Linked DNA regions of Caenorhabditis elegans. The protein of the gene in region 2 purifies or fractionates together with the protein of the main gene of each other region. This does not show direct contact. Each region holds a gene or a part of one and is shown on either strand. Other genes may lie near its edges.

Region 1 (7,131 bases), on a different chromosome or scaffold from region 2:
GAAATAATTTCTGAGACTTCACTTTTTTGCAATTTCTTCAAATTTCCCGCATTTCTATTCCAATTCCAGATGAGACCCATACCCGCTCTGGAAAACCATGAACGTTGGCATCGAATTGACACCGTTCTCTGAGCTGGTTTTCTCGCAGATCTCCACATCAACTTTCAGAAAAACTGCTCCAAGATATTGATTGGACAGAGCTTCAAATGTTGGAGCAATCATTTTGCACGGTCCGCACCAGACTGCAGTGAAATCGACAATCACTGACTTGAGACCAGCGAGGGAAAGCTGATTTCTGAAGTCTTCGTCGTCTTTCACGTTGATAACTGGCATGGTGTAGGGGAGATGGGCTGAAAATTAATTTAATATTTAGATTACTGCACTTATTTTTTTAAGGTGGTGTAGTCGAATTTTTTTAAAATTGCTTCATTAGACTCAAAATTGTCTCAAAACACCGAATTTCATGATGAAACTGCTTGAAAACTTCTCAAAAAAAGTTATGACTGCTCAAAAAATGGCCTAAAATTAGTTAAAATTTGAAATTAGACCGACTTTTCAAGCGGCTAAAAACTACCTTTTTTGAAATCACCGTCAAATTTTGAGTATATATAAAATGTAATTATCTTGCGTTTTCAACTCGATTTAGGTATTTTAAAGTCGATGGACGGCGAGATTTGGTTTAAAAAATTTAAAAATCTCGCCGTCCATCGACTTCAAAATATCTGAATCAAATTGAAAATGCAAGATAATATAATTGTATACTCAAAATTAGACGGTAATTTCAAAAAAGTTAGTTTCCAGCCGCTTGACAAGTCGGTCAAATTTCAAATTTTAACTAATTTTAGGCCATTTTTTGAGCAGTCATAACTTTTTTTGAGAAGTTTTCAAGCAGTTTCATCATGAAATTCGGTGTTTTGAGACAATTTTGAGTCTAATGAAGCAATTTTAAAAAAATTCGACTACGCCACCTTTAAAATACGGATTTTTAATCGAAAAATGCAAAATAATCTCAAAAAATGGGAAAAATCCCCAAAATCTAAAGAAAAATTAAAGAAAAAAATTGGGTTTTGAAAAAAGTTGTTATTTTGTAGTTGAATTTGTTGAATTTTTCCCGCTGAAATTCCAATTTTTAAGCTTTCGCATCATTTTTTTTGGGATTTCTGGCAAAAGCTATTGTAAATACTCCCGGAACAATGCACGAATATATTTTAGCTATTTAATACGCAGAAATTGTGAAATTTCGTTATTTTTTGGGCGATTTCTGGGGAAATTTTGACCGAAAAATTGTAATTTCTGGGATCACCGCTTCCAAAATTGTTCAGTTTATAGTTCTAGGAGCAAAAGATATCTCATTCAGAAGAAAAAACGAAAAAAAAATTTCAAAAAATATAGGAATCACGCCAATTTAAATAATTATTCATTAAAAAAAAGATTTTTTGAAGGTTTCCACAGTAAAATGCATTCATTCTCAAACTGATTTTTGGGTAATTTTGGGCATTTTACACGCTAAAATAGGTGAAAAGCACTTTTAAACGCTCTGAACACAATTTTAATATGCAAAAAATAGTATAAATTCCGGAAAATTAAGAAAATCGGCATGAAACGTGGATTTGTCAGCATTCAAAATGAATGCCGGTGCGGCGAGGGAGTGCACGAAGCGTGGAGACGCAGCGGACAACAAACGCGCTCCAATGGACAAAAAGTGCGGGAAACCGGGACTGTTCAAAGTGTACGCTTTGTCTGTCGTCTCTCCCATTTATTTTTTGGTTTTCGCGAATAATTTCGCTGAAATTATTATTTATTCCTGATAAAAATGAGTTCCCGGGTGACTAGATCCAGGTCCCAGACTCCGCAGACTGCTGTAACCGACTTTTTCAAGGTAAATTGGAGTTTGAAGTTATGAATTGCAATTATTTAATGTTTTTTTTTCTTTTTCAGACCACCAGAAAACCGAGAGCAAGAGGAGAAAAGAAGATTATCGATGAAAGCATCACAAAGACCACTACAATTAAAGAAGTACAAATTCCTGCTGCTCCAATCGTCGAGAATAAATCCTCCCGAACTCGCGCTCGGACTCCATCCCGTCAAGCGGAATTATCGAGTTCCGGAACTCCGCCAAAAAAAGCTAGAGAAGCTGAAGCAGAAGCCCCTGAGCTTCCCAAAATCCATGAAGATATTATTCTGGAAAATCCGGCTCCTCAGAAGTCAGCGATCGATAAGCTAATGGAAGCATCCGGCCCAGCGAAAAAGAAGGCTGGAATTCGAACTGTTGCAGATTTACAAGCAAGAATAGCTGCAAAAGGAGCAGCTAAAGCGATTCATGAGCAAAATTTGAAGAACAAAACGAAGCAGGTCGATGATCACGTGGAATTGCTGAAATCTCCGAAGAAACCAGTTATTGTTGAGCATCACAAATCACCTCAGAAATCCAAGGCCGCTCGTAATCTGTTCTCACCGAAGAAGCCAGTTCCAGACTATATTATTCCCGGCTTTAATGTCCTGAAATCGGCCGAAAAAGTTCGCGGAGAGCAGGATGATGCTCACGAAGAAGAGGGAAAACGAATGACTGCAGAGTTTCTGAAGAGCTCACGGCTTATTGATGAAGTTAAGGAGAGTGCACGTCAACGGATTGAACTTCCAACTGCGTATGAACATCTCGCTGATACTTTCAAACGAATCGATCAGATCACTGCGATCTTTATCGGTCAGAATCGAAGCTGTGTGGTTCCTGAGTTGATCAAGAATGTTAAGAATACGTCTGGAAAGGATTTTTCCAATGAACATTTGTCACAAATTCTTCATGTATATCCTCAATCATATCATATTGAGATGCGTGAACAGCGAAAAGCATTCGGCCAGGGCGGGAAGTATGAACTTGAGGTTCGACCGAATCTCGTGGAAGGTTCGTAGCTTTCGGTTGGCAATTTGCAATAAAAACATTTAAAAAATCAGCTATTTCTGACGTATTCCATTAAAATTTAGTGTCAGAAAATAGAAAAAATATTATATTAATCGTAAAATAGCATTCTTTTAAGTTTAAAAAGACTTATCGATTTTTCTTCTCTGTTTGATCACCTCCACACATTTTTGAACTCGAAAATATTTAACGATTAATAAAATATTTCTCTATTTTTTAACAGACCCTATTCATGCTCCTGATACTGATTTTTGATGTGAAAATTTTTCAAAAAATTCAAAAAAAAAGCCCTGGTTTTATATTAATTTTTGGAAATTCTAAAAATACTAGCTTTGCTCAAAAAAAAACTGAAAAAAAACACAATTTTCTCTTCAAAAAGTAAGAAAAAACACAGCTTTTTACCAGATGTTCGAAAAAAAAACTTTTTTGTTTAAAAAATCCAAAAAAAAAACAATTTTTTAGTAAAAAAATTCGAAAAAACTCAATTTTAAGAAAAAAATCCGGGAAAAAAACACCGTTTTTTAGTCATAAAATCGGAAAAAAGATAATTCTTTATTCAAAAAATCCGAAAGAGCTCAATTTTTTAGTCATAAAATCCGATAGAACAGCGTTTTTTGTAAAAAAAACCGAAAATACCGAATTTTTATTCAAAAAATCCGAAAAAAAAACACAATATTTCAGTCAAATAATCCGAAACAACGCTATTTATAAATTGGAAAAAACACCATTTTTTGTTCAAAAAATTAGAAAAAAACAATTATTTTTAATTTAAAAAATCTGGAAAAAACACAATTTTAAGTCGAAAAATCGAAAAAAAAAGACACATTTCTTTAGTCAAAAAAATACGAAAAAACACCTTTCTTGTTCAAAAATCCGAAAAAAACGCAATTTTTTAGTCATAAATGCGAAAAATACGCAATATTTTAGTTTAAAATATCTGAGAAAAACACAATCTTTGTGGCCAAACATTGAAAAAAACACCTTTTTTTGTTCAAAAAATCCCAGAAAAACGCAATTTTTTAGTTATAAAATTCGAAAAAACCCCAATTTTTAGTCAAAAAAAAGTTTCCTGCTTACAAAAAACCTTTTTTTTTGCAGATCTACGAGGCTACATTTACGAAAAATCCCCCACCGACGGCGACACCGAAGATCTTCCACTAGTCTGCCCATCAAAGCTGCTCTCCCCAAAGAAAAGCCCCAGAAAACAAGTTCAACCGGCTCTCCGAAAGCCAGAAGTCGACGGGAGGATTCGCCTGGACGCTGCTCGTCAAAGAGACCGAGCTCATGTTTTCCGTTATAAGTTGGCCTCGATTGTCACGAAATGTCATACGGAATTTTTGGAATCTCAAGGATTATGTGCTTCTTCGAATATTAAGAGAATGCATCCATTATTCCGACTTGACAAGCATTGTCCATCACTGCCGCAGGTGAAACTTCCAGAACCTCCTCTACAGAAATCATCGATTCATATTGGAATGAAAGAAGCTTTAGATAAATATATGGATCAAGTATCTCTACCATCATTTGTTCAAAAAGCTTATCAAGACTTAAAATCTCCACTGAAATCAACTACAGGAGCATCTGGAACAGTTCCAATCTCGCCGAAAAAGTTCTCCGAGATGCAAAAAGAGCAGAAGAGCCAGGGAGCAATGTCACTTTTAGAGCGTATTCGTGCGAAGGAAGCAATCAAAAAGGCGGCTGAAGCTTGTATTGATAAGGATCTTGAGAGAAGAAAGCAACGTCTAACACTGCTCCGTGACCGATATGTTCGAATTGTGTGCAATCATTATACGGCGAAACGGGCTCAGACGATGGAAATTGATGTGATTTGCAAATTTGTGCAGTTCAGCTCGTCCAACTCGTCTTCGATTCCTGATATTATGGATCATTTGAGATTGTTGTGTGAGGTCGCACCGATGTACATCTCTGAAGCTAGTTTAATGAACAAAAAGTTCGTTTTTTCTCGATTTTGAGCCATTTTTGCGAATTCTTTTGCATCGAAATCGAAAGAAAAAACTTGAAAATTGGATGATTTCGGCGAACTTTAAAAAATTGTTTTCAAAAAATGTTGAAAATTCGCAAATTTTTTGAAATAAAATGTCTGAAAAAATGTTTAAAATTCATTGAAAAATCGGAAATTCTCTTAAAAATGCTGAAAACTCTAGAAAGCAGCAAATTAGTAAAAAAAAAATATCAGAACATTTGCAAAAATGGGAATTTTCAGAAAATTCAACTTTTTTTTTGAAAATTAAAAAAAAATCTCGATTTCGGGTCATTTTTGCAAATTCTTTTGCATCGAAATTGAAAGAAAAATCAATCTTGAAAATTTCGCAAGTTTTAAAATATAATTTTCCATAAATTCGCGGTGGTTTTTCAGAAATTTTTGAAAAATATCAAAGAATTTTTAAAAAGTTATGAAAAAAATCGGAAAATTTGATTTTAAAAATTTCTTTGTCTCGATTTACGCAGACGGTGTACTCCACGAGGAGAAGAGTAGTTTTTGGATATGGTGCTCGATTTTGTATGATTTCTGCAAATTTTTTTTCTTTTAAAAATTCGTCTGAAAATTTTTGAATTTTTTTAAAAATTCATTGAAAAATCGGAAATTCCTGAAAATTAGCAAAAATGTTTGGAGATTTTTAAAAAATTCGAAAAAATTGTTTGTAAAAAATCCTGAAAATTCCCAAAAAAAAAATTATGACAATTTTCTGCGAGAGTTTAAAATATTACAGATTTTTTTAAATTTTGAAAAATATCTAATATTCTCGAAAAATTCGCCTTGGAAAATTTCGAAAAATTCATTTTAAAAATAGGAAATTCAAAATTACTACTTTAGCATTAAAAAAATCATAAAAATTCTCCAAATTTTTTAGAAGTTTCCAAAAAAAAAATCGCAAAAATTAAATTTGTGGTTTTCCAACAATAAATGGACCAAAATCAAAAATTTCCACCAAAAAAAACATAACTTCTCCTCGAGGAGTACACGAGCTCCGTAAATCGACACAGACATTTGTGAAAAAAATTACTTGAAAATCGTAAAATTTCAACAAAAAAAATTCTAATTTTTTTCCAGATACTTCCGATTCACCGACAACAACATTGAAGCAATCAACGAGTTGCTCGATGAAGAGCTCCAAATTACTCAGAAAAAGATTGATGAGCAACGAAACACCCAAATTGCACAAATGAGCCACCACCACACACCACGGCCATCCAAAGCAGCAAGATCTCTCAAATTTCATTAAAAACTAATTTCTAAGCCATTTGTAACTAATTTTCTCACTTTTCTCTCATAACATTCCTGCAATTTTTAATTTTTTTCCAAAGAATTTCCAGAAATTTCAAAGATTTTTGAGCATTTTTCGATTTTTTCACGAATTTTCCGGAAAAAAATCGGAAATTTTTCAATACAATTCTCCAAAAAATTCCCGAAAAATCACAAAATTTCCACTATAACTTCTCGAAAATCTTTGTAATTCCTGAACATTTTCAAAGAATTTCTAAAAATTCTCAATTTTCCAGAATTTCTTTGAAAATTCCTGAAAAAATCGGAACTTTTCCAAAAAATCCGTCACTTGTAACTATTTTTCTTCTCGTTTTTTCTCTCATGCTCTGTACCATTTTCCAATTTTTTTTCACTTTTTTCCAAGTTATCACTCTTGCAATTTCAAATTTAAAATTTCAAATAAATCAAAACGTTATTTAGAAAATTAAAATGGAATTAAAATTTTTATTCCAAGCTGTTATTCATTTTCAGCGTAAAAATTATTTTCCGCTTGGCGCATTTTCGGTGCATTGCTGGCGCATTTCGCGATCCGTTTTTCAACCGTTTATGTATTTTTCATCATTCTTCAATGAAAAACTAAATTTTTAAAACAAAATTCAATTTTTCTATAATTTTTCAATTCAGAAAATGCTCAGTAATCGCCTCGTTGGCTTTCTTTGCTCCCGGTCATTCACAAAATGCACAAGCCTGCCGAGCCGATTCACACGTGACGGATTACGGGATCGATTACGACAGCAGGAGCTCAAAGAGCTCACGAAAAATCATCAGATTAAGCAGGCGTTTAGTCCAGACGCTAGAACTGTCAGGCCGATGTCGGATTTGTGGAAAGTACGGGATTTTTTATTTTTTAGTTGAAAATTAGTAAAAAAATCAGTTTTTTCGGCGAAAATTGAAGTAGAAAAGGTTTTTTTTTTGTGTAAAAAATATC
Region 2 (5,357 bases):
GTGTGCGCCTTTAAATAGTACTGTAATTCAAAACTTTAGCTGCTATCAAATTTTAATCGATTTTTCATACATCAAATTTGAATAAAAACTGAAAAATCGATGAAAATCCCGCATCAACGACAGTTTGACATTACAGTACTCTTTGAAGGCGCACGCCTTTTAGCATTTGACAAAAATTTGTCGTGTCAAGCTTGTCTTGATCAAGACCGGGTACCGTATATTAAAATTCGCAACGCTTTGCGTCTGAGTGATATCTGATTTTTTTAAAAATAAAATCTGCGAGTTCCAGGTTCATCGATTTCAAGTTCTTGTTGCCCTGATGCTTTCCAGTCAAACCAGAGATGAAGTCAATGCGGCGGCGATGAAAGTTCGAAAAATATAAATTTTGATTTCAAGCATTTTTTATATTTACAGAGACTCAAGGATCATGGCTTGTCAATCGGGAAAATTCTCGAATTCAAAGTACCAGACTTGGAGACGATTTTGTGTCCTGTTGGATTTTATAAAGTACGGTAACTCGAAATTTAAAATGCAAAAAGGTGTGCGCCTTCAAAGAGTACTGTAGTTTCAGAATTTGCGGAATTTTTATTGTTTTTTTTTCGGTTTTTTTTTTTCAATAAAATTGTTTACAATCAAGGGAAAACTGAAAAATCGATGAAAATTCCGCAGCAACGAGAGTTTGAAATTACAGTACTCTTTAAATACGCACATCTTTTTGTATTTACCAGAAATTGTCGTTTCGAGACCGGGTACTGTATTTTTGGTGTAAAATTTCGCATCTTGGTAATAATCTAAACATTTTCTTTCCAGAGAAAGGCCGTGTACCTTCAAAAGACTGCAAAAATTCTGAAAGATGATTTTTCTGGCGATATCCCTGATTCCCTGGACGGACTGTGCGCACTGCCAGGAGTTGGCCCAAAAATGGCGAATCTCGTCATGCAAATTGCTTGGGGAGAATGTGTGGGAATTGCAGTCGACACACATGTTCACAGAATTTCTAATCGACTCGGTAAATATTTTTTAATTTCATTTTAAAAATGAATTTTTGAATTTCTAGGCTGGATCAAGACCAGCACCCCAGAAAAGACACAAAAAGCGCTTGAAATTCTACTTCCAAAGTCGGAATGGCAACCAATTAATCATCTTCTCGTTGGATTCGGTCAGATGCAATGCCAACCAGTTCGTCCGAAATGTGGAACTTGTCTCTGTAGATTTACGTGCCCCAGTTCCACAGCTAAAAATGTGAAGAGCGAGACTGAAGAGGTTTATACCTTTTTATAAATAAAAGACAAGCGGATTTTTTTTCAGACTTCCACAAGTATCGAGGTTAAACAAGAAGTTGAGGATGAATTTGAAGATGAAAAACCTGCGAAAAAGATTAAGAAAACCAGAAAAACTAGAACCAAGATTGAAGTGAAAACTGAATCGGAAACGTAGCAAAGCAAGTGTCAAGCAGAAAATCGATAACTGATCTCTAACATACATTATACATGAATGAATAAATTAATGTTTTTATTTAAATAAAACTGGCAATTCATCTGGTTTCCTATGTTTCATGAAACACAGAAGATCCAATAAATCCATTATATAAATATTGATGCACTTTGCGCGTCATATTCACTGTCTGTACGTGAGCGTGTTTGCGGAATGTGAGGCGCGGGCGCCAAAAATTTTCAAATTTGAATCGCATCGTTTTACCGCATTCTGTTTTATTTCCATATTTTCATCCTTTTTCTATTGTTTTTTCTTGTTTTCTTCATAATTTTTTTTCATTTTGAAGAAGAAAACTGAGTTTTCCTTCTCAAAACATAATACTGATTGTCATATCCTTGTTTCAATGGTTTAAAATTTCAGTAATCCACTAACACCAATATGTCTAACCTCGACAACCCCGGAATCTACTATCAGGAACGATTCTTTGCGAATGACGGAGTTCCAGATACTGGAAGAGAGTTGATCGCTGAATATCGTCAGCTTATCACTCAATTCCGCAATTTTATCCGTGATTTTTCCACTGGAGGCTTCGGAATGATTTACAGGTTTGTGCAATTACTCTGATCAAAACTTCTCTCATTAACCAATTACAGAGATCAGCTGAAGCGCAACTACTTCAGCCATGAATATCGCCTTGAAATTAACCTGAATCATCTGAAAAATTTCGACGAGGACATTGAGATGAAGCTGAGAAAATTCCCAGGAAAAGTGCTCCCAGCTCTCGAGGAAGCCGCCAAAATTGTCGCTGATGAGATTACCACGCCAAGACCAAAGGGAGAGGAGAAGCTTCATGATATTCAAGTGACACTGACGCTTGACGAGTATCCAACCTCACTTCGACAGGTTAAATCTGCTCAGGTCTCCCAGGTTGTCAAGATTTCCGGAATTATTGTGGCTGCTGCTCAGGTATGAAAATCAAAAATGTTTAAAAACAAATCATATTAATTAATAATGTTACTATATTTTTCTTCAGGTTCGCTCTAAAGCCACTAAAGTAACCCTCCAATGTCGTCAGTGCAAGCACACAATTCCAGATGTTTCGATCAAGCCAGGACTTGAAGGATTTGCTCTTCCAAGAACTTGTGCAGCGTTCGTTATTCTTATTTAAAATGATCAAATTTTGAATAATTTCAGACCACAACAAGGACAAATGCAGCGATGCCCAATAGATCCATATATTATGCTGCCCGACAAGTGTGAATGTGTCGATTATCAGACTTTGAAGCTTCAGGAGAATCCAGAAGACGTTCCACATGGAGAAATGCCACGTCATCTTCAGCTTTTCACGGAGAGATATTTGACTGATAAAGTGGTTCCTGGAAATCGAGTCACAATTGTTGGAGTTTATTCGATTAAAAAGTTGATTCAAAAAAAGGGTGGTGACAAATCTCTTCAAGGAATTCGTACACCATATCTCAGAGTTCTTGGAATCCACATGGAAACATCTGGACCTGGAAGAACCAATTTCACAACGTTTACACCTGAAGAAGAGAGAATGTTCAAGACTTTGGCTCAGAGGAAAGATGCTTATGAACTTATCGCTAAATCGATTGCTCCATCAATCTATGGATCCGCTGATATCAAGAAATCGATTGCTTGTTTGTTGTTCGGAGGTGCTCGTAAGAAGCTTCCAGATGGAATTACACGACGTGGAGACATCAATGTTCTCTTGCTCGGAGATCCAGGAACAGCAAAATCTCAGTTGTTGAAGTTCGTTGAGCAAGTGTCTCCAATTGGAGTGTACACATCTGGAAAAGGATCATCGGCTGCTGGTCTCACTGCATCAGTTATTCGTGATCCACAATCACGCTCGTTCATCATGGAAGGTGGTGCAATGGTTCTGGCTGATGGTGGAGTCGTTTGTATTGATGAATTCGATAAAATGCGTGAAGATGATCGAGTTGCAATTCACGAAGCAATGGAACAACAGACCATTTCTATTGCAAAGGCTGGAATTACAACTACTTTGAATTCTCGTTGCTCGGTTCTGGCGGCCGCTAATTCGGTTTACGGAAGATGGGATGAGTCGAGAGGAGATGATAATATCGATTTTATGCCAACTATTCTGTCTCGTTTCGATATGATCTACATTGTGAAGGATACTCATGATGTTCTCAAAGATGCTGTAAGTTTCTGCAAGGATGCTCACGCACAGAAACAAAGAAGGGGTGCGCCTAGTGTGTCGTGATTAATTTCTGAATGATTTTACTGCATTAGCTTGCTTGCATGATTTTGGAACATTTTCGCTAATTTTTTTACAATTTTAACATTCGAAATGGGCAATATACCCCTGCTTTGCACAGAAAGCAATAATTTAAAAAAAAATGAAATCCAATTCTCTGCCGGGAATAATACAAATGAGGGGTATATTGTCCATTTCGAATGTTAAACATCTAAAAACCTTGGCGAAATCGTAATTCACAGTTGTGCACGGGTAGTACACGACGGCCGATTTTTTTGCCCAATAATTCTAAATTTTCAGCTTTAATTTTGAATATTTTCAGACCCTCGCGAAGCACGTCATCGAAGTTCATGTGAATGCATCTGCTGCTAAAGAACGTGATATTGCAGGAGTCCCAAAAACAGCCACAACTGATTCAGATGGTGTGATGACAATGTTCGATACGGATGGTTTCTTGACTATCGAGTTCCTCAAGAAATTCGTCACATATGCTCGTTTGAACTGTGGACCACGTCTTACTCCGCAAGCTTCTGAGAAGCTCGTTAATCACTACGTTAAGATGAGAAATCCAGTTGTCAATGCTGATGCTTTTAGTAAGTTTAAAATATCATTTTGTAATGAAAACCCATAAATTTTCAGAATCAGGAAAGAAGGCTCATAATTCGGCAATTCCGATTACCGTTCGTCAACTCGAAGCCATTGTTCGTATTGCTGAAAGTATTGCAAAGATGGAGCTTCAGCAGTTTGCCACTGACAAGCACGTCGAGGAAGCGCTCCGTCTGTTCCGTGTTTCAACAATTGAAGCGGCGGCAACTGGAAATTTGGCAGGAGTCGAAGGATTTACTTCAACAGCTGATCAAGAAGCATTGAATCGTATCGAAGTGCAAATGAAGAAGAGATTCGCAATCGGTACACACGTTTCTGAGCATTTGATTGTTCAAGACTTTGTTGCTCGTCAACATTATAGAGAGTCTCTTGTCAAGAAGGTTATCGATAATTTGGTCCGTCGTGGAGACTTGCAACAAAAGATGCAACGCAAGATGCTCTACCGTGTTCGATAAATTCTCAAAATTTTGTCTTTTTTATCTGGATCTCTTTCTCATACTCAATTCTTAACATATTTTCTCATTCAATTTGATTTTAAACTGTTCTAAATTATTAAATGAACGTTTGCTTTTTCGAAGACCTTGAAAAATAATCAAATTCTAGTTTATGATCGTGTCAAGAAAACACATCAGAAGATTTTCACCGCTCGTTTGCTAAATGATGGCATGCCTGCTTAAAGGAATATTTTTCCAAAGTTCTTCTTGAATAATTTGATTTTTGGCAAATGCCCCAACAATGGTGAACTTACTCAAGAAAATTTACTGATTCACCAAATAAACAAACAAAAATCACTTTAAGCCGAGTGTGAGGTTGGTAGCAGTAACTGAAAATTGTGGAAACCTAACCTAAAGGTAGTCTTCGACATAAGTTTCATTTGGAAGTCCGGGATTAGGTTGAAATACTTCCCTTGTAGCTAAGTACGGTATTATTGCAGGAGTACTGTAGGATTTGCGTAGTTTCGGAAAATTTGAATTTGAAAAAATGTTGCTATTATTAGGTTAGGGTTGGTGGTACTGTAGGGTTACTGTAGTTTGGGAAATTTAAATTTTTAGCATTTAACATGGGCCGAGAGTTG

What was found. Proteins that work in one complex are often made in the same cells at the same time.
Region 1: the proteins of mcm-5 (region 2) and cdt-1 fractionate together in Caenorhabditis elegans (co-fractionation; one large-scale study listed by BioGRID). This does not show direct contact.

The regions. Positions count from the first base shown.
Region 1 is NC_003279.8:3,222,650-3,229,780, reverse strand, and holds cdt-1 (CDT1 Geminin-binding domain-containing protein), read left to right. Parts: upstream 1-1,676; 5' UTR 1,677-1,813; coding exon 1,814-1,879; intron 1,880-1,938; coding exon 1,939-2,902; intron 2,903-4,015; coding exon 4,016-4,868; intron 4,869-5,990; coding exon 5,991-6,162; 3' UTR 6,163-6,621; downstream 6,622-7,131. Other genes in the region: txl-1 (Thioredoxin-like protein), read right to left, coding at 83-333; rom-5 (rhomboid protease), read left to right, coding at 6,831-7,031.
Region 2 is NC_003281.10:4,287,764-4,293,120, reverse strand, and holds mcm-5 (DNA replication licensing factor mcm-5), read left to right. Parts: upstream 1-1,854; 5' UTR 1,855-1,872; coding exon 1,873-2,039; intron 2,040-2,087; coding exon 2,088-2,400; intron 2,401-2,467; coding exon 2,468-2,583; intron 2,584-2,628; coding exon 2,629-3,619; intron 3,620-3,998; coding exon 3,999-4,269; intron 4,270-4,315; coding exon 4,316-4,737; 3' UTR 4,738-4,857; downstream 4,858-5,357. Other genes in the region: nth-1 (Endonuclease III homolog), read left to right, coding at 290-367, 415-507, 811-1,009, 1,058-1,263, 1,309-1,437. UniProt on the Caenorhabditis elegans protein: Acts as a component of the MCM2-7 complex (MCM complex) which is the replicative helicase essential for 'once per cell cycle' DNA replication initiation and elongation in eukaryotic cells.